Linked DNA regions of Drosophila melanogaster. The protein of the gene in region 2 interacts with the protein of the main gene of each other region in a biochemical or structural test. Each region holds a gene or a part of one and is shown on either strand. Other genes may lie near its edges. The genes, in order: BicC, png, tral and CG34159.

Evidence for each region.
Region 1: of the proteins of png (region 2) and BicC, one has a biochemical effect on the other in vitro, tested with the Drosophila melanogaster proteins (one study listed by BioGRID).
Region 3: of the proteins of png (region 2) and tral, one has a biochemical effect on the other in vitro, tested with the Drosophila melanogaster proteins (one study listed by BioGRID).
Region 4: of the proteins of png (region 2) and CG34159, one has a biochemical effect on the other in vitro, tested with the Drosophila melanogaster proteins (one study listed by BioGRID).

Annotation. Positions count from the first base shown.
Region 1 is NT_033779.5:16,040,149-16,048,079, forward strand, and holds the start of BicC (bicaudal C), read left to right. Parts: upstream 1-1,898; 5' UTR 1,899-2,379; intron 2,380-2,768; exon of another isoform or gene 2,769-2,926; 5' UTR 2,927-2,938; coding exon of another isoform or gene 2,939-3,073; 5' UTR 3,074-3,097; intron 3,098-3,675; 5' UTR 3,676-3,906; coding exon 3,907-4,213; intron 4,214-4,274; coding exon 4,275-4,324; intron 4,325-4,403; exon of another isoform or gene 4,404-4,639; coding exon 4,640-4,709; intron 4,710-4,772; coding exon 4,773-4,852; intron 4,853-4,917; coding exon 4,918-5,244; intron 5,245-5,692; coding exon 5,693-5,818; intron 5,819-5,878; coding exon 5,879-6,260; intron 6,261-6,453; coding exon 6,454-7,581; intron 7,582-7,809; coding exon 7,810-7,931. Other genes in the region: CG45084 (uncharacterized protein), read left to right, coding at 2,939-3,073. UniProt on the Drosophila melanogaster protein: RNA-binding protein that is involved in oogenesis. Required for correct targeting of the migrating anterior follicle cells and the establishment of anterior-posterior polarity in the oocyte. May act as translational repressor of oskar during oogenesis.
Region 2 is NC_004354.4:1,355,974-1,359,618, reverse strand, and holds png (pan gu), read left to right. Parts: upstream 1-2,017; 5' UTR 2,018-2,085; coding exon 2,086-2,961; 3' UTR 2,962-3,131; downstream 3,132-3,645. Other genes in the region: CG11417 (uncharacterized protein), read right to left, coding at 3,209-3,645.
Region 3 is NT_037436.4:12,513,211-12,520,229, forward strand, and holds tral (trailer hitch), read left to right. Parts: upstream 1-1,848; 5' UTR 1,849-2,241; coding exon 2,242-2,362; intron 2,363-3,348; coding exon 3,349-3,849; intron 3,850-4,205; coding exon 4,206-4,747; intron 4,748-4,813; coding exon 4,814-5,044; intron 5,045-5,227; coding exon 5,228-5,457; intron 5,458-5,519; coding exon 5,520-5,860; intron 5,861-5,933; coding exon 5,934-5,941; 3' UTR 5,942-6,485; downstream 6,486-7,019. Other genes in the region: sti (sticky), read right to left, coding at 1-192, 252-614, 671-915, 1,172-1,457.
Region 4 is NT_033779.5:10,201,976-10,206,313, reverse strand, and holds CG34159 (uncharacterized protein), read left to right. Parts: upstream 1-1,996; 5' UTR 1,997-2,125; coding exon 2,126-2,142; intron 2,143-2,653; coding exon 2,654-2,930; intron 2,931-3,281; coding exon 3,282-3,431; 3' UTR 3,432-3,794; downstream 3,795-4,338. Other genes in the region: Snx17 (sorting nexin 17), read left to right, coding at 1-945; RpL7 (ribosomal protein L7), read right to left, coding at 4,256-4,338.

The DNA.
Region 1 (7,931 bases), on a different chromosome or scaffold from region 2:
CACTTTTTATTCCCGATACTTTCGAACAGATCTTTACTGTAAAAAATAAAAGATCACAATAAGCCACGACAAATGGCTCTCAGTGAAGAGAACATTAAGAGATGCGGAAAGTCAAACCAAAAATGCACAGTTGCCTGGGCACTGGGCACGTACAGGGTGAGAAAATGCGTGTGCTCAGTCACTGAAAATCAAAATGTACTTAGAATAAATACTATGTACTTCAAACTCTTATGTTATATATCAAGCGTTAAATATATTCAAATAAAAAATCAAAAAGTTATAGGAATTGTGCACAGTGTACAGCAAGCTGAACTTTAGACTGCACTTGAGCTTAGCTTTCGGGTACCGTAGTGCATTTTAAAGTGGGGTTTTGACAGCTTCAAAATTGTAAACAACCGAATATAATTTAAGTCAATACTAATACCCGTTACTTTTAGAGTAAAAGAGTGTTCTAGATTAGTGGAATCGTTTGTAACATTATAAGGTATTCATCTGAGTAACGGGTATCTTATAGTCGAGAGAATCGACTATAACTTTATTTTGTTTGTTTTCTCCTTTCAGAATGAAGAAGACATTATGTCAATGTGTAAATAAAAGCTTAAAACCAAGCACAAAATTAATATTTTGTAACATCCACTGTACAGAAAGGAACTTTTTACGGTTGTGGAAATGAAAAGCAAAATTAATTATTATAGCAAGCGTTTATTTGTAGAAAACAACGAATACATAGAGCAAATTAAAACGAAAAAGAATCTTTATTTTCAAGTCTTGTTTCGGCAATATTAAAACTCGATGAAAGCAAAAGAATTATTTGAACATTTTTGGCCAACAAAAATCCAGCGGTAAATAGTTCCTTTACCTTAAACACAATTCAATGTATGCAATGGGTAATCGTAGCCCAAAAACAAATGAAAATGTATATTAAAAAAAAATAACAATAATAAAAAATAAATGTTGAATAATTTATAAATTCAGTACATATATTTAAAGTGTAAATAAAATGATAAAACGTAATAATAAAACTTATGAAATATAAATTAATTGGTGTACATGCAAAAACAAGTAATACAAATAGATAATTATATAATAATAAACTGCATGCCGCCAGATTTTTGTAATCAAATCGTGTTGTGAAAGTTGTCTTCCCTAATTTATGCCCATTACATTAAAACATTGACAGGGGATTTTAATTTTAATTTCAGTATGGTTTCAATTATGGCCAATATATATAATAAACTATAACCATATGTATAAGAATGTAAAAAGCTAGTTTTATGTACATAAAAATGGGACAAACATTTTGATGTTACTGAATAAATATTAAAAGTATTAACCAAGAAATATGAAAGTAGGATAAAAAAACAGTGAATGTTTCCAGCTGCTAGGAAAAACGATAAGTCTTAGATCTATAAAGAGAATCAAAAACGCGGTCAAATGCATAGCACATAATATATTCATATCCCCAATAAATAACCCGAAATGTGTAAAGCCAGAATAAATGTAATAATAAGATTGAAGAAAACAAAATAGTGATGTAAAATAGCAGCAAGGAAATAAAGTAACCCCTATTCAATAACTATTGCTGACGTCTTTTACTCGTACATGTCATCATTTAATTACGTAATTTAAGTTTGGTTTATTTAAAGTTTGATTTCCGGTTGTACAAGGGTGAGCGTACTTTTAAAACCCACTGTATATAAATACTTTGGTAAAGTGCAGGTTGGGGAGTTTCAGAAGCTTGAAAAGCTCCGTTTCCCGTTATAAAGCTATTGCTGAATATCCGTTATCCAGTTGGCTGGCAGCTTTTTAAGGTTGTTCGTGCACTGGCTTCACTCCCCACAGAACACAGAGCTTTTGGATCTGAAGGTCAGTTGGGACTGGGACCCACATGCCGAGCTTAGTTTGATAGTCAGCGCGCTTTAATGACGACAACTGCACGGCGCGCACAACCCATTAATAATATATTAATTCAAAAGAGCTATAAAATATTAAAAAATATTCAAATATAACTAACTAACGCGCAGTGCACGATTTTCTGACAACAATTCAGTTTCGCTTTTCATGAGACTCCATTGCATTTTCCTTTGTGTTTTTCACACACGTGGTGTTTTTCTGTTACTCGCACTTCGATAGTGGTTATTTTTTTTGGTTACATTGAAAAAATACACCGACTGCCAGCCGAATTCCCATTCGAACCTTAATTTGACCAATTGACGGAAAATTAATTGCGCCCAAAATTAATTAGCAAGCGGATATACAATTTTTTTACGTGAAAAGAGCGTGTTATTTGTCGAAAAGATTTTACAATTGATTGTGTTTAAGTAAATTAACCTGCGATATCTATGTGTATGTGCTACGATCCGAATTTCTGACATTACGGTAAGTGGCGTGTTTTTGGCGGGAATAAAGTCGGTTTCTCTTTGTGCCGTATTTCTCTACCGTTTTTTCTGGCGCCAAAATGAATGAAAACGGTTGGCAACATTTCAAACTTAACATTGCAACATTCTAACCGCTGTTAAGCGTTTGCTCTGCAAATTGTTGTAGCTATGTTGGAGTTCTGGAACACCACCTCTCCCTGCGACTTTGTTTTGTTTTTCGCTCTCGACATATGGAATCGAATCTCTTATTCCGGGAGCGGTTCATTGACCCAGCAACAACAATATTCGCCAGATTTTCTCCTGCCAGCGATTTGCGGAATTCATCCGCTCAACAGTTAGAAGTAAATGCCGTCGAGCAGCGGGCAAAATCGATCGACGAAATCGAGAGCCGCGTTCAGTTGCCTTCAAGCCGTACTTAGAAGAAGTGCTGGTCCCCCAGAAATCAGAGAGATTTTTCCCAACTTGCATTTTTCCAATACTCTGACAAAGCCCCTCAGACCGTCGCAATCACACAGCTATATACTGATATATAGATCTCTATTGCGCAGATCACACCTTAAATGCCTTTCGTCGAGAGATTTCAACAAATACGTAATTTTGTTATGAACGTCTGCCTCGTCGAGGCCATCCAATTCGTCCAGGACCTCTCGCACGCCATCTGTCTGGACCTCCAGGGCCTATTTAATCTCAAGTAGAGATCACCGAGCGATCTCCCAGCGGTAAGTTACGCCATTGGTTTTTGGGCACAAGGAAGTGAAAGTGAAGACACGGGTGAAATTACGGTTTTCGGGATCTCGAGAGAAAGGGGAAAGTACGAACCTCATGGCAGCAGCACTCCATTTTGAGAGGTTATGTGAAAGAACACACAAGAAAGTTTGGAATTTTCGACAGGCGGCGAACCAATAATAATGTTGTTATCCATAATAATATTAATTAGTGAATTTTTATTTCACCTTTTCGCGGCATTATTCTCACAAATTTATAAGACAGATTTTCAAATTAAGACAGAAAGTTTTTTAATGTTAGTGAAAAGTACTTATTCCAGTTGATAGTTAAATACTATTTACCGCAAAAAATTAAAAGAGAACTAAATTTAAAGGTAAAATCGTTTTTTTTTTTGGAAAGTGCATTGCTTAAATTATGGTACCGACTATCAAAATAAAAATAATTAATTTTTATATGGTGTTTCAATATTCACTTTAAATTACCTATGACTCGCTTTCTAACCACTCTCTTCTTATTACGAACATCAATTTTCTTGTTACATCATTTCGGACCTTTCATTTTTCATCACCAGCTCATCCCATCAATTCAGATACACTTTACTTCATTAAGTAGCAGCAATCATCTAACAAAGCTGACCAAACAACGGACCGGCTTCCAGAATCCTTAACTGAGACGGACGTTTTGCTTGGTTTTTAAAACTAAACGACTTTTTGGTACCCACACCTGTTGACCTCTGACGAATTTCTCGATCCACTGACCGATCCACTGATCCAGTGATCATCATCATCATCCGAATTCCACAATGTTGTCCTGTGCCTCTTTCAATAAACTGATGTATCCGTCGGCCGCAGATGTTGCCAAACCGCCAATGGTGGGCTTGGAGGTGGAAGCTGGATCCATTGGATCCCTGTCCAGTCTTCACGCCCTTCCATCGACCACCTCGGTGGGCAGTGGAGCCCCCAGCGAGACGCAGAGCGAGATCTCCTCCGTGGATAGCGATTGGAGTGACATACGCGCCATCGCCATGAAGTTGGGCGTTCAAAACCCAGACGATCTCCACACGGAACGTTTCAAGGTGGATCGACAGAAATTGGAACAGTTAATAAAAGGTAATGCCTTTATATATAAAAATAATAGATTCCTTATTATACATTGCCTTTTTTCTGATAGCGGAGAGCTCCATTGAGGGAATGAATGGAGCTGAATATTTTTTCCATGACGTGAGTACATATTTTTAAGTTTTGGGCACCTATTAGCTTCACACTTTCTTTTGTCTCATTTTGAGACACAGAATGCCATGCCTTATAAATATTGAACATATAATAATATGTTTCCTATTCAATAGTATATTAAGTTATTTAGTTTTTGAGCAAAATTTTTAAGTTAATTGATTCATGTCTTTGTTTGGCAATCTGACTTTGCATCTATAAAATTTCAGTGTATAACCCAATTTGTTTTAAGATACTGTTAGGACCGACTCTTTTGACTTGATATAAAAGAATTCGCCATATATCCAAAACATATTCTTTTACTAGATCATGAACACTACGGATACTTATGTGAGCTGGCCTTGCAGACTCAAAATTGGTGCCAAGAGCAAGAAGGGTAGGATATTGAAATATTTTCAATGTTCAAGAGTATTTTTCAAATAAATCCCATAATTTAAAGATCCCCATGTGCGAATTGTGGGAAAGGTGGATCAGGTTCAGCGGGCAAAGGAGCGCATCCTTAGCAGTCTTGACTCCAGGGTGAGTGAGCCAAAGCATAATACAAACTTATCTGTTTTAATTGTTACCCATTTTTCTCCGAACAGGGCACTCGAGTGATCATGAAAATGGACGTCAGCTACACGGATCACTCGTACATCATCGGACGAGGTGGCAACAACATCAAGCGCATAATGGACGACACGCATACCCATATCCACTTCCCCGACTCGAATCGCTCCAATCCCACGGAGAAATCCAACCAGGTGTCGCTGTGCGGCAGCCTAGAGGGCGTGGAGCGAGCCCGGGCTCTCGTTCGGCTCTCCACACCGCTGCTCATCTCCTTCGAGATGCCCGTAATGGGACCCAACAAGCCGCAGCCCGACCACGAGACTCCCTACATCAAGATGATCGAGACCAAGTTCAATGTTCAGGTGAGTTCCAGATGTCGGAGTCAACTAAGTGTAAGATTATAAATTAATTATAAATTAATCATGGCATGTTACCAAATATTATTTGCATTTGACTATAATGGCTTGATTAGTTTAACTAATTTAGGTAAGATTTTGTAATATACATTCATACATACATTTAAGAGGGGGTATAGAAAATGTCAAATTTTTTTTTCCCAACCCTTGAGAGTTGTGATTATATATTGCTCCATTATAATTTTATCAACTGATGTTACATTAGGCTAATTTTGCAGTTGTGTTATTATTATATATTTTTAAGTGATTTAGAACGCATTTAAAGTAATAAAGTTACTTAAACGTTATTTTCGAATTTGGCAACCTTAAATTACAACCAAGGATTTTTGTAAACAGTTTTTTCGTTGCTCTTAATTATTATTGAATATATTTTAAAGATTTTTCCTCCTTTCAGGTCATATTCTCCACGCGTCCAAAATTGCATACCTCGCTGGTTTTGGTCAAGGGATCCGAGAAGGAATCGGCGCAGGTCCGAGATGCCACGCAGCTGCTGATCAACTTCGCCTGTGAGAGTATTGCGGTAGGTTCGAGAAGGATAACTCAAAATAAGGCTCATCAGCGAATCCTTTTTCCTTTTTAGAGCCAAATCCTGGTGAATGTCCAGATGGAGATCTCGCCGCAGCATCACGAAATCGTCAAGGGCAAGAACAACGTGAATCTGCTGAGCATTATGGAGCGAACCCAGACCAAGATCATATTCCCCGATCTGAGCGACATGAACGTGAAGCCCCTGAAGAAGTCCCAGGTCACGATCAGCGGACGCATCGACGACGTCTACTTGGCGCGACAACAATTGCTTGGCAATTTGCCCGTAGCATTGATTTTTGACTTTCCGGACAACCACAACGATGCATCCGAAATAATGAGCCTCAACACCAAGTACGGCGTCTACATCACGTTGCGCCAGAAACAGCGGCAGAGCACCCTGGCCATTGTGGTCAAGGGAGTGGAGAAGTTTATAGGTAAGATCTCTAAAGCAATGTGTAAAGTGTATGATTTTCGTTGATTCTGCATTAATATACGATTGCACTTTCCATTATTGTTTGATTTTTATCCCATATTTTCCTTACTTTTTAGATATATTATACAATTTAAGATATTTAGCAAGTGCTGAATTAAATTTCCGTATTAATCCGTTGTTGTCACCCTCCTTAGACAAAATCTACGAGGCCCGCCAGGAGATCCTGCGCCTGGCCACGCCATTCGTGAAGCCCGAGATCCCCGACTACTACTTCATGCCAAAGGACAAAGACCTTAATCTCGCCTACCGCACCCAGTTAACTGCTCTGCTGGCTGGGTATGTGGACAGCCCGAAGACTCCATCGCTGCTGCCGCCCTCCTTGGCTGGCCAACTGACGCCCTATGCCAACAACAATCACCTGTTGTTGAACGCCAATGGCTTGGCCACGCCCACTGGGGTGTGTGCGCCCACCCAAAAATATATGCAGTTGCACAACAGCTTCCAACAGGCTCAGAATCGTTCCATGGTGGCTGGTGGGCAGAGCAACAATGGCAACTATCTGCAGGTTCCTGGAGCGGTGGCGCCGCCTCTCAAACCGCCGACTGTTTCGCCACGGAACAGCTGCAGTCAGAATACCAGTGGTTACCAGAGCTTTAGCAGCAGCACCACCTCCCTGGAGCAGTCGTATCCGCCGTATGCCCAATTGCCGGGCACCGTGTCGTCCACTTCATCCTCCACCGCGGGAAGCCAAAATCGGGCGCATTATTCGCCAGATTCCACTTACGGCAGTGAGGGTGGTGGCGTTGGCGGCGGAGGTGGTGGTGGGGCGCGTCTGGGACGACGCCTTAGCGATGGAGTGCTGCTGGGGCTGAGTAATTCCAACGGTGGAGGAGGTAACTCCGGAGGAGCCCACCTCCTGCCCGGCAGTGCCGAGAGCTATCGGAGTTTGCACTATGACCTTGGAGGAAACAAGCACTCCGGCCACCGTGCCTTTGACTTCGACATGAAACGGGCCCTGGGCTACAAAGCCATGGAGCGCACCCCGGTGGCAGGGGAGCTGCGAACACCCACGACCGCTTGGATGGGAATGGGCTTGAGCAGCACCTCGCCCGCCCCTGCCCCGCTGGAGAACGGGGAAAATGGGGCTGCTGGTGGAGGAGCATCTAGTGGGTGGCGGCTGCCACCAGGACTGGGTTCCCCTTACGGACTGAGTGCCACCACCGGACTCCTGGACGCCACTCCAGTCAACCGACGGATGCAGCTAGCCAAGCACAAGGACATCCAGACTCTGCTCACCAGTTTGGGTCTGGAGCACTACATCAGTGAGTAGCTCCGCCGATCATGTCCGTTTTTACCAACTGTGTACTAGAAGTCTTTTATAAAGCTATCATATATGTCTGGCTTGAACTGGAGAGTGTTTTATTTAACGCAAACGTTTTTTCACAGTCATAGATAAAGTTACATAAAGTTCAACATCCATATAGCATTTAAAATCAAACTATTTTATATTTACAACCTGGGAAAACTACAGTTTTTATTTCTCCTTTCAGAAATATTCGTTCTAAACGAAATCGACCTGGAGGTGTTCACCACCCTGACCGAGGAAAACCTGATGGAGCTGGGTATCGCGGCGTTTGGAGCTCGCAAGAAGCTGCTGACGGCCATTCACACG
Region 2 (3,645 bases):
GTCTGTCGTTCGCTGAGGGCAAAAGTTTCGAGTTAGTTGAAGGTGAGGGTGCTCGATCACCGATTTGCGGTGAGACGAAAGAAAAGTATGCATTGTTGCGTTGTAAAGAGAGCCGGCGCTCGTCTTGTTCACATTGTCGCTGAGAACGTATGTCGTTTTGATTCATTGTTCTAAGTCCACATATAACAATTACCAGAACAATATGGAATAATTATTTATTTTAGTAAATAATTACTATAGTCAATAATTGTTAGTTGTGCAAACTGCACTTTACACTTTGTGTTTAACTTTCACTATACTGTTGTAGTTTTTAGAACTTGCTATTCGTAGCTTGAAAGAAACACGTCTCCACCCGAAGACTGTGGAATGCCGAACGCGCGCTTTAATGCTATCTAAAATTGACTACGGACTGCCAATCTTCGGTTGGTGTGCTAAATCACACTTAAAAAAGCTACAAGTCCCATATCACGGAGCGGTCCGTCGCGCCATTCACGCATTTCCCACATCTCCAGTAGCGTGCACATTGGCAGAATCGGGTCTCCCGAGTATCCAATCACGCGTAGAAGAAACTACATTGATGCTTATCCCGAAGCTGTACACCACGTCAAACTGCCTGCTAACCAAAGACTTCGGAGCCATATTTAAACAAAAACGGAAATTCAAGTGCATATCCACCCTAAGACGTTGCGCCAACTACATCAAGCTACTTGACCTTCCCCTGCCTAAGCCCAGGAGGCCCTTCAAATCGCCAGCACTTTGGGGTTCCAAACAGCCTAACATAAACCTTCAAATATACAATGCTGCCAAAAAGGATACAGGTCGCCTAGAATACCAAAAACGTTTTATGAGCGCACAAGAAGATCTTGGTGTGAAAAACTGGATCTACACCGATGGTTCTAAAGTCACCGGCGCAACTACTTTTGCGGTTGTTGACTCTAACCGTAAAATAATTGCAGGAGGTAGGCTTCCGTCCTACAACTCCATATTTACAGCCGAAGCTTTCGCCATTCTCAAAGCATGCCAATTCGCTTCCAAAAACGCTGGAAAATCTGTTATCTGCACAGACAGCCTCTCCTCTCTTTCCGCTATACGCAACTGGAACCATAATGACCCCACAACACAAGAAGTTAGGCACATTCTAAGTTCTCACCCAAAAAAAATCACCTTACTCTGGGTTCCCAGTCATCAAGGTATTCATGGGAATGAACTTGCTGACAAAGCCGCCCAAGAGATGAGGCTTACACCATCAATCCTGTTCACTCCGTTTAACTCCAAGGACCTAAAAAGTCGAATCAAGTTATACCTCAAAGAAAAGAAACTCTCCGAATGGGCACTCTTCATGCACAGGTACCAGTCTATCAATCCGAATTGCATCATGTTCAAGCCACCAACGAACGTACATAAACGGGAATGCGCGACCTTTATCCGTCTACGCATCGGGCACACCCAATCCACACATCAACACTTACTGATGAGATCGGCGCGACCAACATGCCAACTATGCGGGGACGAGCTCACCGTTGACCATATTCTCAACGCCTGCAGTCAATTGCACTCAATTAGATCTCACTTATTTGGTACACATAGTCTCTCGAATTGTTTAAGTATCCCATCCTGTGAAAATATCTCAAAAATTTACAAATTTGTCCAAAAAGCTAAGTTTATTATATAAAGCAATTAACCCATAAGTCTCGAGTCGAAGGCCCCCGTAGCTAGTACTCATTAAATTTAATTAGGTTTAGTATTGTATACTATATTTAATTTTGTTAAATAAAATAAATAAAAATTTAGGATAGTCATACTTTTCACATGGATGGACTTTTTGAATGGGGTTAGTTCACGATGCGTTAGTTTGATTAATTAACCAGACTCTAATAACTTACTTTCATTGAGCACTGTTGCTGCTGGCCAGATGAGCAATTTTCATATGGGGTTTCCGAAGTTCCGAGTTTTCGGCTTTTTCCGATGGAACTGTGCATCTCTTGTTTCGAAGCAATCGATAGATGGCGCGCTTGCGCTTTTGCTGGCTAACTGTACATCAAGGCGGGATCGCGGATTACGCTTTCGGAACTCTGCGCACTCGAGATGGAACTGGGTGACTCTAAGCTGCGTGCGGTAAGGGTGCTGGGCCAGGGCACCTTTGGCCGGGTCTTCCTCTGCCACCAAAACGAGGTGCGCGGACAGCCGGAGAGGAAGGTGTGCGTGAAGCGGATCATCGTCCGGAATCCGAAGACAGAGTTGGGATTGATCAAGGAGGAGGTGTACATCATCTCGCAGCTGCGCCACCCGCACATCGTTGAGTTCCTGCGCTCCTTTAGCCACGCGGGCACTGTGAACATCGTGATGGAGTACGTGCCCAACGGCACCTTGAGGGATGTCATCCAGCAGCTGCCGTCAGGCACCGGGGGAGTCAATCAGGAGCGGCTGATGGGCTACTTCCGCGACATGGTAGTGGGACTCGAGTACCTGCACATCCGCTGCGTCATCCACCGAGACATCAAGCCCGAGAACATGCTCCTCGACGCCAACGACCGCGTCAAGATCGCCGACTTTGGGATCGCGAACGTTCATGCGCCCAGCACTCAACTGCAGGCGGGCATGGGCACGCCCATGTACATGGCCCCGGAGGCGATGTCCAGCCAGGGCAAGGTGGATTTCAAGTCGGACGTGTGGTCACTGGGGCTAGTCCTCTACGAGCTGTGCCTCGGACGCAGCCCCTTCGCCGCGTTTCTCGACAAGAACGCCACCCCTGCCCTACTGCACACCGTAGTCCAGGCGCTGGTCCGCCCCCGGCTCGACTGCCAGCTCATCCGGCGTCTCTACGATCCCGTGTGGGCGCAAGTTTGCGAGCTGATGGTCGTTTACGAGCAGGAGCGCCGCATCTGCCTACCAGACATCTTCCACCTCGACGCCGGCATGACTGTGACCCTCTACAAGCATTACTTCAGCTACAGCTACTAACGGAAGCCAATGGTCAGCTCACCAGCACGAGGAGACCTCAACAAATATTTCATTGTACTTAAGAACTAGGCTAGCTTAAGCGATAAATTAAGGTGTGTGCTGTGCTTTGTGTGCGCCTGTGCTTTTGCCAGGGGATCTGTCAGCTATAAACAGTATATAATGTATATTCCAAAACAGTCTCGCTCAATGTCATTAACGTAGTCTTTAATTTACATTTGTTCACCTATTGTACAGTAACATTAATCCTCTAAAGCTTCTGGCCCTGCTGCTGCAGCTGGATCTTACGCTTCAGACTCTTTACCAGGGCGTTCTGCTCCAGCTGCTGCTTACTCCTCTTGGGGGCTACCTGCTCATCCCCATCCGCATCGCCGTTTGCAGCGCCGCCCTCCCCCTGCTCCTTTCTGCGCTTTAACTTCTCGCCGATGATCTGCTGCATGCCCTTGGTGGGCTTGTAATGGGAGTGGGTGGGATCGATGTTGTACTCGTGCGACTTGTAAACGGCACTGAAGCGATTATCATTCAGGTTTACCTGGAAGTCGTCGTCCAGCTTCTCCGCATTCTGCGGCTGATTTTTCGATTTCTTTAACTTCTGACGACGCTTTCGCTTTGAACCGCTCGCTTCTTGCTCCTCCTTCTTGAGGATTTTGGTCAGACTGAAGTGTTGCTTCTCGTCGCGCCCGTCGC
Region 3 (7,019 bases), on a different chromosome or scaffold from region 2:
CTCAATAAGATTTCTATAGTTAACAGACACCTTCAAGTCGGCGGGAAAGCTGATGAGCTCTTTAAGGTGACTCTCCTCGCAATGGGAGAGAATCTTGGAGTATGTCTCGTGTACATTGTCCTCGTGAAAAGGTGTTGTCTCGCATATTAACTCATATCCTATAATGCCCATGGACCAATAATCGCAGCTGACCTACAAAATGAGTTCTTGTTTTAGCTATGAACTTTCCAAACCAAACTCTGCGATCGTACAATTCTACTCACATCGTGCATCGACTTGGACAGCTTGTAGGTGGATATGGTTTGCAGCAGCTCTGGAGCTATGTAATCCGGTGTTCCCACCGGCGACAAACTCAGCACATGGCCATCGCGATCCAAGGCAGCGGCATTACCGAAATCAGCCAGTTTAATATGGCCAAAACGATCAATCAGTATATTTTCAGGCTTTATATCCCGATGCACATAGCCCATCTCGTGCAATGTGTGCAGGGCCACTGTGAGCTCGGCCAGATAGAAACGAGCCAAGTCCTCATCGAAAGGGCCGTGGCGTGACATCAAGCTGAGAAGGTCTCCGCCGGGCATGTACTCCATGACCAGGTACAGATTGTCGTTATCCTAAGTGATAAGTTAATTCAAGTACTGAAATATGCGAAAATGTGGAAATAACAAACCTGAAAGGCATACTGCAGATTGATTAGCCATTCAGAGTTGCGAATGGACATGATATCGCGCTCCTCCTTGACTTGTGACGTCGTCACCACCGACTTTTTGATCTTCTTCATGGCGTATATGTCGTTGGTTTGCCGCTCCACCACCAGGTGAACGTTGCCAAAGTATCCTTGGCCAATAAGCGTCTTGATGAGGAAGTCATCTGCGTTGACCCTGAGTTTGCGGGTCTCCTCTATGATGGGACGAACTGGAGTAGGAAATTAGATAGTAATATAATGGGTAACTAGGCATGAGCTCTATTTTCAAGGAGGGAAACCGGAACATACAGGTAAATCTATAAGAGATTCTACTCCCAATAATTTTGTGGGCTTTAATAATGGAATATGATTAGCAAAAGTAGATTCTCTGACCCGAGGAAGTAAAAATGTGGCTTCTGAGTTCCATTTCTATAGAATGGTAGATACTCCATCCGAAAACCCTGCTGACCAATGCAGTTGACTCACATTTGTTGACAAACTCGGCGATGTTGCGATCGCGCTTCTTCAGCGTATCCTTGTCGCACTCGTTGTACAGCAGACAGAAGGCGTCCAGGAGTCCCTCGCGGCAGATGGCCTCGGCCACGGCGGCGCTAGTGGTGCTCACGGGTACAATGCTTCTCCTGGTGGAGGCGGGAATACCTGATCCGGAGGCGCTTCCAGCGGGCTTCGCACAGACGCCAGCTCCTTTGCCCAGAATCAGGTTGTTCAGACGCGCGGTGCGCACGCTAATCGGCTCCATCTTGGGTGGCATGATGGACTCACTTTTATTTGCAATTTTCTCACATAAATAATACAATTAGAAATCCGTAAAATGCCAGAGCATTTTTCTGCCGTTTCGCTTTGAAAAAAATGCGCCGAGGGAAGCCGAAGAGCCAGGGATGCGTGCTCACTTTCCAGAGTTGTATTTAGGGTTGCAAGTAGGGCTGCCCTGTGAAAGAGGATAAAATTTGAATTTTAATGCAAACAGAGAACGGATAAATAATGAAATAGTCTTATTTACTTTTGGCAACCTTTTGAAGCGTCCCCTTTTATATTTTGCACAGTTTTGCACATAAACAGTTATTATTATTATTTCGCTGCCGCCGCCGCTGCTATACAACCGCGCTTTCCAACACCGTCGAGGCTCTCGCTCGTATGCATCGTTCATTTTCGACGGGTAGGTTTTCGCAGACGGACGGAGCAAAGATTTGTGCATCGAAAATTGCAATTTTCACATTTGGAGCCGTGTGTGCAGCATCACAGACATTGGAAAAGCGCTTGTCGCACTTGTGCAAAAACACAGCTTGATAAAGCAAACGCGGCTAGAAGGCGATTGGCCGCAAATTCGCCCTGGAACTGGAACGCAATTGCGTGTGAAAAAAAGACGGAAAAAAAGTAAAAGAGCAGAGACTGAAACCGTCGAGAAATCGTTGTCGTCGCGCTCGCTATAATTGTTTGCTTTTGACAGAGAAATTCGTGTGCCTGTTGGCAGAAACATTTAATAATAGTTTGTATTTTCGGCGTGAGTGCGCAGTGAAGCATCGAAGTAGTTCAAGATGAGCGGGGGATTACCGGAGTTGGGCTCCAAAATCAGCCTCATTTCCAAGGCGGACATTCGATACGAGGGCCGCCTGTACACGGTGGATCCGCAGGAGTGCACCATTGCGCTCTCGAGTGGTAAGTATTTAATACGAAAATCGCCCACGTCGCCCATATATGTACATATACGGGATATACATATGTGGGTGCCGTAATCTGCGCCAAAAAAAAAGAAAAAAAAAATCGTGTAAAAAAACGGTTCATCGCAAAAGAAAATGGATTCTGTCCATTTCTCTTGTGTTGGTGGCTCTACTCTTTCTTTCCTTTTGGTTCGTTTCTTTTTGTTAGTTTTTACAGTAATTTCATACTCGTGGAGACGGTGAGTGCAATTGCCGCCACCGCTCTCTCCATTACCCATTTCGACAGCCGTCTCTCGCTCTCCCACTTATGCTTTTTGTTTGTCATGTTGGCTTTGGCCTGTTTTTGTCTTTGGTTGTTGTTGTACAGTGTTGCTTTTGCAATTTACTTGGCACACATACACCCGCGCACAAAGTAACGAGCACCAGCAAGGCCCCAATGCAATTTGTTTATTTGCAAATACAATTTCGATTTGGCGCCAGATAACGGGATCCAAGGGCTCCCGTTACGGATGTCAGTGCCCTGGAAGTCGAAAAGGAGGAACGGAGAGCGGAGAAATACCGGCAAAACATGCGTTCCCCAGTTGAGGTTAAATTGGAAGCGCGGCCTAACCTTAATGGGTTTACAAGTTTGCCGCAATCCAAGTAATTCGTCTTTTGAACAATTGCATTATATAATGCGGTGCATTCATTTTAAAACAATTGGAATATAAACTTGAAAGATGTGGGCTCGGAAAGTTCCACTTATTAGATGGAGCACTTTTAAAAACCGACTTAGAATACCGGTTAAGCAAAAAAGGTAGCTTATTTGCAATGGAAAAATTTAAAAATTTAAAAGTTTAGTTTTGTGAAAGATCTTTCTTAAAGCAATGGAATAAAAATGGCGGCTGGGATAAGAAAACTTTACGGAAAAAATGTTCACTATTGTACTCTTTATACGATTTAATATTATAACTCAATTCATTTTAACCCTCTTTTCTTTTTCAGTGCGATCCTTCGGTACAGAAGATCGGGACACCCAGTTCCAGATAGCGCCGCAATCGCAGATCTACGACTACATCCTATTCCGTGGCTCGGACATCAAGGACATTCGCGTTGTCAACAACCACACGCTGCCGCACCACAATGACCCGGCGATCATGCAGGCGCAGCTCCAGAACGGACCGCCCCAGATGCCGCAGCACTTCCCCATGCCCAGCGGGATGAGCGGTCCGCCGCAGCAGCAACAGGTGCCGTCGCAGCAACCGCCCCAAATGCCAAGCGGTGGAGGCAGTGGTGGTGCTGGTGGAGCAGGAGCTCCTGGCGGCGGCGGACCCGGCTACGGCAATGGCAATCCGTTCGGCAACCTCGGCGGTCCCAATCTGGCCAACATGGTGGGCAATGCGGGCGGATCGCTTGCACCCGGTTCCGGTGCTCCGGGCAGCGGACCCTTCATGCACATCGGTGGCAATCAGCAGCAACCGAAGCCCCAGCAGCAGAAACAGCCAAGTGAGTTGGTGTAGACCACACATTACTAAAATTACATTGCACACAAGTAGAACTTCTCATTTGTGATCTTAAATCAAAATTCGTTTCCTGCTAAAAAGCGATTGCTATTTTCAAAAACGCAAATTCCGGGAATAGTTTAAGATATGGTTCATTTTGTGGCTTTATCCGATAAGCGAGCATGTCGATTTAAATGCTTAAAAATTACGCTCTTTTACTCAGCCCTTTAAAATAGTTAATGTCACCTTTTGATACAAAGTATTTGACACAAGTATTTGTTTGGACTAATGTTTTTGGTGCCCACACGCATTACTCTCTCCTTTACTTTCGTCCTCGTTGCGTCCTCTATATGTGTACAGTTTCCGTTCTAGACATGCTGGCCGGTGCCTCGCGATCGACGACGCCCATTAGCCTGATTGTGAGTCCCACGGCGGAGCTGACTCAGCAGCAGCAGCTGCACCAGCAACAGAACGCTGGCCAGGGTGGCAACGGACGCGATGCAGGACATAAGCGCCAGAACCACCAGCAGCAACAGAATCAGCAGCATCAGCAACGTGGCGGACCCAGCCACAACAATATGCAGCAGCAGCAGCAACGAGGCGGCGGCAGTGGAACGGACTTCTATAACCAGCAGCGGGATCGTCGGGACTCCGGACGTCAAATGGACAACAACTATAGCAACAACTACAACAACAATAATAATAATCAGCGCAATCGCGGCGGCGGCAACGGAATGCAACAGCAGCAGCGAGGAGGAAACGGCGGCAGCGGCGGCGGCGGTGGAAACGGAGGTGGAAACAACCCGGCCTGGAACATGCATCGCGGCAACCAGAACTCGAACAACATGATGAACATGCGCAACCGCGGCATGGGATCCCGCGGCCCCATGCGACCCAATCAGGTACACCTGCTGGTGACTCACACTGCTATAGATGGTTTATTAAACCCTGGCTTTCACATTTTGCAGGGCTATCGTCCGCAGTCGGCCAATAATCAGAACAAGCCGCGGAACAAGATCAAGTTCGAGGGCGACTTCGATTTCGAGCAGGCAAACAACAAGTTCGAGGAACTGCGCTCCCAACTGGCCAAGCTCAAGGTGGCCGAGGATGGTGCACCCAAGCCAGCCACCAATGCAACGGCCGCCACTGCAACTGCAACCAATGAGCAGGTGGGTGAGAAGGTTGAAGGCGTTCACACAGTAAGTCCACATACACTTTTTATTTTTATACACTACAAATTAGTTCTAAATGAATAAGAGCAGTTTATTAACAAATAAGGTAAATCTTCTTCTTTATTTATTGCTTGTTTAAGTTCAGTTTAAGTAACATTTTCTATACGATCGTTTTAAGAGTTACTCACTATTTGCATCATCTGCTTGCAGCTGAATGGCGAGACCGACAAGAAGGATGATTCTGGCAACGAGACCGGCGCTGGAGAGCACGAGCCTGAGGAGGATGATGTTGCTGTGTGCTACGACAAGACCAAATCGTTCTTCGACAACATCTCGTGCGAGGCTGCCCAGGATCGCAGCAAGAACAAGAAGAACGATTGGCGCCAGGAGCGCAAGTTGAACACGGAGACCTTCGGAGTGTCCTCCACACGACGTGGCAGGTAAGTCCAATCGAAGCAATCAAGCAAATGCAGTGTGGCTCATCAACTGAATGTATTCCAAGCAGTTACCGCGGACGCAACCAATACTACAACAATAATGGCAACGGCGGCATTAACTCGGGATATGGAGGAGCGCCAGGCTACAACAGGAACAATTATCGCATGGGTGGCGGCGGCGGAAACTTCCGAAACAGGAGCAACAATCGCAACAACGGCGGCGGTCGTGGCGGAAACGGAATGCCAAACATCACCAATGGCAACACGGCTGCTGCGCTGAAGGCGGCCAACAATGCTGCTGGCCACGGATCCAATGCCACGGACTCCAGTGCACCAAATGCCACAACCGCGACGACAAAGTCGACGTCCCTCTTGCCAGAGCAGACGCAACAGGTGGCGGCAGTTTGTGAGTAGCAATTACATCTAAGCACTTCATTTGCAACATGTTTGTTTACATGTGTGTCTGTTTACTTTTGCAGCACAATAGTGCCGCCCGGCCAGTGGAAAGCCACTTTAAATATACACCAACCACAACCAACAAACCACAAATTGATAGATGCGAATTGAGAAGAGCGTAAAGTAAATATCCTATTCATTGCAAAGCTAATTATTCGAAGCAAACCAATCAAGTGACCCGAACGATCGACGACACACAGGCTCTTATTATCAGGAATTTCGAGTTATGGATCCAGCGGCATAATATATTTGTATAATTAAATTAGTGTTACAATTCTCACGACGTCCTGGGGCGCACTCCGCTGCTGCCCGCCCACCACCACCGTGTGCTTGGCGATGATAAGCGCTCTACGATTCGATTAATGATTAGCGACTAGCGCGAATGTGAATGTGAATGTGAACCGAACCGAACCGAACCGAACCGGCCATGTGTTAGGCTTTGTGTAAATGGCTGGTTCCAACGCCTTGCGCTGAGCAAAAAGCACGGCATTGATAAGAAGGAGCAGATAATGGCACGCCAGCATACATACATATATTTAGTAAGAACATAGTTAAGCATAAGTATGAAAAGCTACAAAAAACAAAACAAAACGAAAGCAACCATTTAGCAAGGAGAGGAGCAAGGAGATTTGGCGGAGGAGCCGATAACAACAATAATGAAATTAATGGAGTAAACCAATTAAATCCATGGAATTCCCAAATCTAAAATAAAAGCTAACTTAATACGTTTTTATTTGAATGAAAGAGTAACAAATCGATTGTAATATTGTATTTCTTGTGGGCGTAAAACATCGACAAACGCTCGACCCGTTTTACTAGCATTTAAAACAACTATTATTTAAGAGCATTTTAAACATGAAAAAAAGAAAATAAAATCGGCAGCTACGCGCTTCTATCAAAAGCACAATTGTAAAAAGTCAATCCAGCTCAGCTGCAATGAATGAATGAAGTCTCCCGAATGAAAATGTTAAACGAAAAAACCCCAACAAAAAAAAAAAAAGAAAACAACCAATCATTAGCAAATTTGTCCAAAAAGAAAAGCCCAAATTTTCGGTTTTCGTACAGTTTATTTTCTCTGATCTCGGTTGGGCAAGGGAAATTATACTTAC
Region 4 (4,338 bases), on a different chromosome or scaffold from region 2:
CGACGTCAAAGGAAATCCGGCGAACTGCACCTGGTGCGACGCCTCATGGATTTCGAGTCGCCGTATATAACGCGTCTGCATGTACAGCCCTGCGAACTGCTGCTGCGTACCTGCTACTGGGACTCCAGTAGAGATGCCAAGCTAACTGGAAGCAAAGTGGCATTGAATTTGCTCTACAACCAGACCGTTGCGGACGTGAACCGCGAGTGGGTGGTCATCTGTACGCCCGGCGAGGGTCGCCAACTGAACAGCCTGCAGATGCAGGGAAGAGCGCGTGAGTACATGGACCTGGTGCGTCAGCTGCCCTCCTACGGCTGCCTGCAGTTCGATGAGGCGCAGGTGGACTATCCGGAGCCGGACACAATGGCGTTAATTAGCATTGGCAACAAGGAGTTGGCTCTGCGCACGGCACGTGGCGTTAAGATCTACGAGACGAAGTTCCGGGTGACTAGGATGCGCTCGTGGCGCGTCAGCGTTACACACATTACGCTGGAATCGCGGCTGGAACCCACGCATCTCCAGCTGGCCTTTGAATATCTGATTGGCAAGCAGACGCTGCGCTGGATCACTATTAACAGTGATCAGGCCATGCTGATGTCCGTGTGCCTGCAGGCCATGGTCGACGAGTTGTTACAGCGAGGCGCTGGCAGTGGAAAGGATCAGAATAGCGATGAGGAGCAGGAACAGAATGCAGTCACGTCGTCCTCATCAACACCCAGCTCAACCTGTTCCACGTCGACATGGGCATCCTCCACGTGTTCTACATCCACTGCGCCCACAACGCCGCCAGTTAGGTTTCTGTCCGAAGATTCGGCGCCCAGATCCAAACCCAGGTTGACTACATCGCGCACCTTCGGAGCCGTATTCTTCCGCAACGACGTGGTGGACAATGGAGCACGCGTGGCCAACGGTGCGTTCGAGGGCATCGGCGATGATGATCTATGAGAGTGCTAAAGGAATGCTTGCCGTGAGTTGCCAAAAATCGAGTCCTTTTTCCGAAAAGGAAAAGGCGCGCCAAACTATTTAGAAAACCATTGCGTCTGCGGATGCAGGAGCAGCTTAACTCATTCGACTAAGGTTGAAGATTTTATATATATGTGTGTGTAATAGAAAAGACTTTAATCTATCTGCTACTTGCAAGTGTTACGAAGCCCGAACTAAGTGGGATTTGCGCAGCATAAGTTTAATTGAATGAAGGCGCTAAAATGTGTTGTAAAGAATTGAATGCTCAAGATGAATGGCACGTTTTACCATCATTATATCTAGATCTACGTGTTGAACTATTGTAAATGATCTGTAAATGGATGCTCGACGGATACTTTTATCTCTTTTATCATTTCTTGTATTGTAATATATGTACGTGGAACTTTCTTTACTTTAGAGATAGTTGAAAATATGTTATGCATTTTACAAAAATAAATGTACTGATGACTATGGCATCCGGAACGAGTCCAACCGGATATTTCAAGCAAAAAAGAAAAAGAAACTAAACAATGAACTATGAATGTACATTCCCTTATCTGTTGACTCACTTCCAAATAAATGACAAAAATGTTTCGAACTGCGTTTTTAGCAAATATCTTTTTAGGGTCTTTAATGGTAATAAAATGATGTCATTTTAGCACGTCATTGAATTCAAGCTAGATAATTTTTGAATATCATTGTTCATAGTGAAAGGGAACACAAAAGTGGCATTTAAAAGTTATTGTTGCGGAATAAAATAATTATATCGTATTAATAACGTTTAAATCATAAAGAGAAACGGATATTTAATGGAATTTAAGTGACTACAATTTAAAAATCTGTTGATAAATTACTTTTATAACTATACTTATCATTCTCTGGAGAATATAATTAAACCAGATAACATTTATTTGTACATTAAATGTTATTTAATTAATATTTTTGAATTTATTAACTTAAATCCGTTTGAATGGAGTTAGGGGTATTCGAACCGATGGGCGCCAATAAACCATTATTTTGGTATAATTTCTTGGTATAGGTGGACCATTGAGCCGCGGTCACACTGCGACTGAAGAGAAAAGATTTATACGGAATATAAATAAATTTTCGGCGATAAACAAGACAACTTGGGGAGATTAATTTTACTCAAGCACCTGACAACATGGATCGCAATAATGGGTAATGTATTTGGATATACAGTGCACGCACCCAAAATCGTTACTTTCGCTCGAATTTAACCTGTGTGCGTCAAGCGACAAAAGACTGTGTTTACACACATACGCATGTATGTATGTATGTGCGATCTTCCAAACGATTAACCGTTACTGCTATTTTGTTATATATAAAACTGCGAATTAAATATTAAAAATATTGGGGAAGAAGCATTTCTAACCTAATTACTTTGATTAGCAGGTTATTAACCAGCATATATAGATGCCATAGGATCTTAATAATTCAGGAATTTCAAAAGACAGTTTTTGAAGTTCATATTAAAGTGTAAATTGGTTAATTTGGAAAACTCATTTGCTAAACTGTATTTAAAATAATGCTTAAAGTAGGTCATGGTCATAAAAAGTTTTTTTTTTTTAATATCAGCACAACAAATACAGTGCAGCTTTCAATCAAGGAGTTTGCTTCGCTTTCATAAAGTTAATGATAAGAACTAAATATATTATTATTTACGCTTTAGACGCTATCCCTACAACATTAGGCGGCAGAACAGCGGGCACAATGCGCCGCACAGCTACCATCACCACCATAACAACAATTCGGCGGCGGGGGCGTCCAATTCGCCGGGATACAATAACCACAGTGCCGGAAACTCTCCGTCCGTCGGTGGCCATAACAACAGCAATCCGCTCTACGCCTCCGCCGCCGGACAGCAGCAGCAACAACAGCAACCACAGAGCCTGCCAATCTCGCAGCACGATGAGCTCATCCGGTACATCCGGGGGGCATGGATCAAGGTGAGCAGCTTACTTGGATCCAAAAGGCCGCTCCTTTGTCACCCTGCTTCGCTTTTCGCACGCGGACATCAGGGACCGTGAACACTTGCTCGTTATTCAGACTTTGCAGTCCAATCTTTTCTTTAGAAGAATAGGAAACGATAGTGGATAATTCCAATTTCGATCAGCAGGATCATTCTATGCATTTTAGGCATCAAGATCTAGTTTAGAAATAGCCAACCTCGAGTCCAACAAGTTACCTTTAGGTATCTTTCTAAAATATTCAAGAGCATTTTGATGGTGAAAACCATTGAGATTCGCGGTCCCCGGTCCAAATTGTCGGTTGCTCTTCATGCTTTGCTCTCTCTCCAGGTCTACGAACAGGGTCCACCTGTGCTGTACTGCAACGAATCCGACAATCAGCTGAAGAACTTTAAGCCATTCGATTTGGAGGAGTACTGGGGCCAGCGCCTGGTGCAGAACATCCATGTGACCACCACGCAGGCCGGTGGACACCAGTAGAAGCGGGAATCTGAACAGCGGACAACGGCATGTGCTCCATGTGGTAACGATTAATTAAATTATACATTTAAAAAGGGTGCCAGCTTCCTCCCGATTATTGACTAATTTCCATGCTATTGGAATTTACAATTTATGTTTGTTTGCTAACTGCTTTGGACTATTGTGTGTGTAAAAAAAAAAAAAACGATTTAAATCCACTGCCAGCTGAAAGGCAAACCATGATTCAATAAAGTGTACATTGGCAAACGATTTTTATCCCTGGCACCCTGAATCTAGCTTGCTATCTGCATTTAAGTGTTGTGCACTAAGCGCGCTTAAAATTTGACCAGAACAACAATAAACAATCTAGAGCGTAGACAAATTAACAAGAATCCTGTGTTTTCATTTCAAATAATGGGCCTACAAAAGCAAACTGTCTAAATTTTAAATTTAAATATTGCTATACATCGAATTATTAACGATTAGCAAACCAAAAAATTATACTGAACGTGGGGTTAATCTTAGCAAAGGGCAAGACTTTCTGGAGTACCGCAGAATTCTTTAAAGTAAAAATGTAACATTAAAATGAAAGAAAATTACTAAATTTAAAGTTGTTATGAAACTATTGGTACATTTAACTAAACGTTCCTTAAAAAAGTCCTCTCTCTCTTCACTGATATTTTCCAATTTAAGTCGCAATGACTAAATCAGCGAATCGAAGCGAAAACACTGCGTTTTTGTACTGAACGGCATTTCGTGGGTTTATAAAAGTAACTTTTATTTCTCTCACTGTTTACATCGAACCGCTGCAGTTGTCGTTTCAGCACATAAATCAAAAGGAGTCCTTAGACCATCTTGCGCAGCAGACGGTTGATCTGGTCCTCGCGGTTGCCGAAGTCACCACCGTTGACATAATGGTTGGCCTTCT